Macaca fascicularis: one gene and its partner. The protein of the gene in region 1 binds, or shares a complex with, the protein of each later gene. Links are inferred from orthologs where the notes say so. Each region holds a gene or a part of one and is shown on either strand. Other genes may lie near its edges.

Evidence for each region. Proteins that work in one complex are often made in the same cells at the same time.
Region 2: the proteins of LEPR (region 1) and LEP are in contact, whole or in part, in a crystal structure (PDB 7Z3R), measured with the Mus musculus proteins. The link is inferred for Macaca fascicularis from reciprocal best matches to the Homo sapiens genes LEPR and LEP. Residues at the interface, in NP_666258.2 of Mus musculus: Tyr439, Leu440, Thr441, Arg466, Ser468, Leu469, Tyr470, Gln499, Pro500, Ile501, Phe502, Leu503, Leu504, Ser505, Val560, Phe561, Glu563, Asn564; in NP_032519.1 of Mus musculus: Lys26, Val27, Asp30, Thr33, Leu34, Lys36, Thr37, Thr40, Arg41, Gln92, Gln96, Asn99, Asp100, Glu102, Asn103, Asp106, Leu107, Leu110.

What each region holds. Positions count from the first base shown.
Region 1 is NC_088375.1:169,057,178-169,059,427, reverse strand, and holds the end of LEPR (leptin receptor), read left to right. Parts: exon of another isoform or gene 1-55; intron 56-813; coding exon 814-1,638; 3' UTR 1,639-1,750; downstream 1,751-2,250. UniProt on the Homo sapiens protein: Receptor for hormone LEP/leptin. On ligand binding, mediates LEP central and peripheral effects through the activation of different signaling pathways such as JAK2/STAT3 and MAPK cascade/FOS.
Region 2 is NC_088377.1:169,928,486-169,930,709, forward strand, and holds the end of LEP (leptin), read left to right. Parts: intron 1-1,147; coding exon 1,148-1,507; 3' UTR 1,508-1,724; downstream 1,725-2,224. UniProt on the Homo sapiens protein: Key player in the regulation of energy balance and body weight control. Once released into the circulation, has central and peripheral effects by binding LEPR, found in many tissues, which results in the activation of several major signaling pathways.

The sequences.
Region 1 (2,250 bases):
CTTGGCAGGATTTTTCTTTGTGATATAATCATTTCTATAAAAAATATGATGTACATTTGTCTTGTGTGTTTGTCTTCATTTCACATGTCCATAGTAAATATTTTTACATGAAGTTATTTATAGAGAATAGTAATTTACCAGTTTGTGATCATCTCTTTCATCATCATTGTTCTCAACATATGATATTATTAGCTCTTATTTTCAGATAGTCTCAAGCAGATGCTCAGTGTACAGCAGATAAGTTTTTAATAGTCAACACAATTAGTTTACTTTCATACCATATCTTATTTCACAATACAGTTATTTTAACTGTTTTTAGACAAGTTATTTTGGTCATTTCACTTTATTATAATCCACTTTTTTCAATTTTGGGCTAAAATTTTGTGGGAATGTAATTTGCTACAAAATATTAGGAAGAAAGTATCTTCAGAAGATAGCATTTTCCAGTAACAGTAGCCAATCTTTCCTGAGAGCTAAGCACTTGCAGACACTAATTTATTTCTAGCCACAACACCATGAAGCACATTTTTAGAGATGATGAAATTGAAAGGCAGAGAGGTTAATGTACTTGTTCATGGTTGTAGAATTGGAAGAACTCAAGTCTAAGTCTGTCTTGTCCCACTTTCAAATGCTATCTTAAACGGGCTCTTCCTTATGCTTTTTGATATATGTATTTTAGTAAAAAACTAGTTAATTTGTGGTTGACTTACATCCTTTATTATTAACTTAACACACTTCCATTTCTGCGAGTATGACATAATGAAGCAAAATTTTTTAACATAATTGAGCCTTAAAATGTGTGTTTTCTTTTAGCCAGAAACGTTTGAGCATCTTTTTATCAAGCATACAGCATCAGTGACATGTGGTCCTCTTCTTTTGGAGCCTGAAACAATTTCAGAAGATATCAGTGTTGATACATCATGGAAAAATAAAGATGAGATGGTGCCAACAACTGTGGTCTCTCTACTTTCAACAACAGATCTTGAAAAGGGTTCTGTTTGTATTAGTGACCAGTTCAACAGTGTTAACTTCTCTGAGGCTGAGGGTACCGAGGTAACCTGTGAGGATGAAAGCCAGAGACAACCCTTTGTTAAATATGCCACGCTGATCAGCAACTCTAAACCAAGTGAAACTGATGAAGAACAAGGGCTTATAAATAGTTCAGTTACCAAGTGCTTCTCTAGCAAAAATTCTCCATTGAAGGATTCTTTCTCTAATAGCTCATGGGAGATAGAGGCCCAGGCATTTTTTATATTATCAGATCAGCGTCCCAACATAATTTTACCACACCTCACATTCTCAGAAGGATTGGATGAACTTTTGAGACTGGAGGGAAATTTCCCTGAAGAAAATAATGATGAAAAGTCTATCTATTATTTAGGGGTCACCTCAATCAAAAAGAGAGAGAGTGGTGTGCTTTTGACTGACAAGTCAAGGGTATTGTGCCCATTCCCAGCCCCCTGTTTATTCACGGACATCAGAGTTCTCCAGGACAGTTGCTCACACTTTGTAGAAAATAATTTCAACTTAGGAACTTCTAGTAAGAAGACTTTTGCATCTTACATGCCTCAATTCCAAACTTGCTCTACTCAGACTCATAAGATCATGGAAAACAAGATGTGTGACCTAACTGTGTAATTTCACTGAAGAAACCTTCAGATTTGTGTTATAATGGGTCATATAAAGTGTAATAGATTACTTTATAGTTGTGGGTGGGAGAGAGAAAAGAAACCAGAGTCAAATTTGAAAATAATTGTTCCAAATGAATGTTGTCTGTTTGTCCTCTCTTAGTAGTATAGACAAAAAATTTGAGAAAGCCTTCATAAGCCTACCAATGTTGACACGCTCTTCTATTTTATTCCCAATCTGTAGTGGGAAGGTCCCTTGTTTCCAGCTAGAAATAAGCCCAATAGACACCATCTTTTGTGAAATGTAATTGTTTTTTCAGAGGGCGTGTTGTTTTACTGCAAGTTTTTGTTTTGTACCAACACACACACACACACACACACGCACACACTCTTAGCACTTGTCCTTGTGTGTTTTGAGAGTATGTTACATACTTATATTTTGTGCTATCAGACTGTAGGATTTGAAATATGACTTCCCTAAATGTTTAAGATAAACAGAGAATTCAGCCCTGGACTAAGGGGTTATACTTGTGAAGACTAATAAGCCAATTGTTATGTACCAAATTTAAGATACGTACCATAGAATGAAATAACCTCCAAGAATGGTGATGCCCACAATCCG
Region 2 (2,224 bases), on another chromosome or scaffold:
CTAGAAGATACCCAAAAGAGTGAGTCTACCCTTTTTCACATTCAGCCCTCTACTGATTTGCAAATAGGAGTCAGTGCCCACCCTGGTCTTTTCTCTGGAGTCCAGTAGGCCTAGACCTTCTGCCATTTTCCTGATGAGGTCTATATTTGAAATTAGGAAGATTAAGTTTGAATCTTCACATTTCTGATGTCTAGGAGATCTTCAGCAAGTTCCTTAATGTCTTTAAGCCTTGGTTTCATCATCTGGATAATAGGGATATCACACACTATTCAGAAGGTTGTTATGAGACCTAAATTAGCTAAAGCAGGTGAATCCTCCTTACTCCCTGCATGCAGCTCTCCGGAGACCTCTCCTGGTCATTGTGGGTGTCTCATGGTGGTCTTGGGCAGTTAAGGAGAAGTTAGGTGTCCAGAAGCAAAGATGGCTCAGAACTAGATAGAGTCTTGGGCATTTTGTAGAGAAAAACTCTTGTCTCCTTTCAAAAATAATTAAAAAAAATTAGCTGGGCATATTAGCCACTCAGCAAGGCTGCACGTGATAGCTCCTGAGTGCCCCAACTTTGGGTGGTGTCAATACACGATATCACGGGAGCCCAGGGTAGTCACCACGGAGGTGTCAGCCTCAGTGCTGTGGGCAGATGGATGGGGAGAGCCCTCCCGGAACTGGAGTCACTGGAGCAGGGTTGGGGACCTCACTGAGGGTACGACCTTGATCTCTAAGGAGGAGGGACTGCCTGGAAAAGCTGACTGGGAGAGAGGACTCGGCTGGGGGTGAAAGGGACTAGAGAAAGCAGGGGGGGGGCGGTGCTTATGCAGGACCTCAGATTCCTGGGGAACAGACTCCACTAAATAAGACACAGGAAACCACGGCTGATTCTTCAGCAGAGGCCATGCAGAGACAGGAATGACCTGAGAAAGTCGGGAAGTGGAGGGAAGGATGGTGTGGGAAGAGCAGGAATCTTGGAGACCATCTTAGAGGCTTGGCAGTCACCTGGGCACAAGATACAAGGGCCTGAGCCAAAGTGGTGAGGGAGGGTGGAAGGAGGCAGCCAAGAGAATGACCCTCCATGCCCACCGGAAGGTGGAAGGCTCTGAGAGTGATTCCTCCCACGTGCTGAGCACTTGTTCTCCCTCTTCCTCCCGCATAGCAGTCGGTCTCCTCCAAACAGAGGGTCACTGGTTTGGACTTCATTCCTGGGCTCCACCCCGTCCTGACCTTATCCCAGATGGACCAGACACTGGCAATCTACCAACAGATCCTCATCAATCTGCCTTCCAGAAACGTGATCCAAATATCCAACGACTTGGAGAATCTCCGGGACCTTCTTCACCTGCTGGCCTTCTCTAAGAGCTGCCATTTGCCCTTGGCCAGTGGCCTGGAGACCTTGGAGAGCCTGGGGGATGTCCTGGAAGCTTCACTCTACTCCACGGAGGTGGTGGCCCTGAGCAGGCTGCAGGGGTCTCTGCAGGACATGCTGTGGCAGCTGGACCTCAGCCCTGGGTGCTGAGGCCTTGAAGGTCACTCTTCCTGCAAGGACTACATTGAGGGAAGGAACTCTGGCTTCTAGGTGTCTCCAGGAGACCATGAGAGCTGGGTGCGGTGGCTCACAAATGTAATCTGAGCACTTTGGGAGGGCAAGGTGGGTGAATCACCTGATGTCAGGAGTTCAAGACCAGCCTGGCCAAATGGCAAAACCCCGTCTCTAATAAAAATATAAAAATCAACCAAGAGTGGTGGCGCATACTTGTAATCCCAACTACTTGGGAGGCTGAGGTGGGAGAATCACTTGAACCCAGGAGGCAGAGGTTATAGTGAGCCAACATCTCGCCACTGCACTCCAACCTGGGTGACACAGGGAGACTCCATCTCAAAAAAAAAAAAAAAAAAAAAAAATCACAGTCATTGTTTCCCTGTTCCTCACCCCATCCACTCTTCTTCATTTTCATATATTTTACTTGTACATTTGCTTAATTAATATCTACCCCAATAAGAATGTAGGCTCTGCTGGGCACAGTGGCTCACTCCTGTAATCCCAGCACTTTGGGAGGCCGAGGCAGGTGGATCATCTGAGGTCAGGAGTTTGGAACCAGCCTGACTAACATGGTGAAACCCCGTCTCTACTAAAAATACAAAAAAATTAGCCAGGGGTGCTGGCGGGAGCCTGTAATCCAGCTGCTCAGGAGGATGAGGCAGGAGAATCGCTTGAACCTGGGAGGCAGAAGTT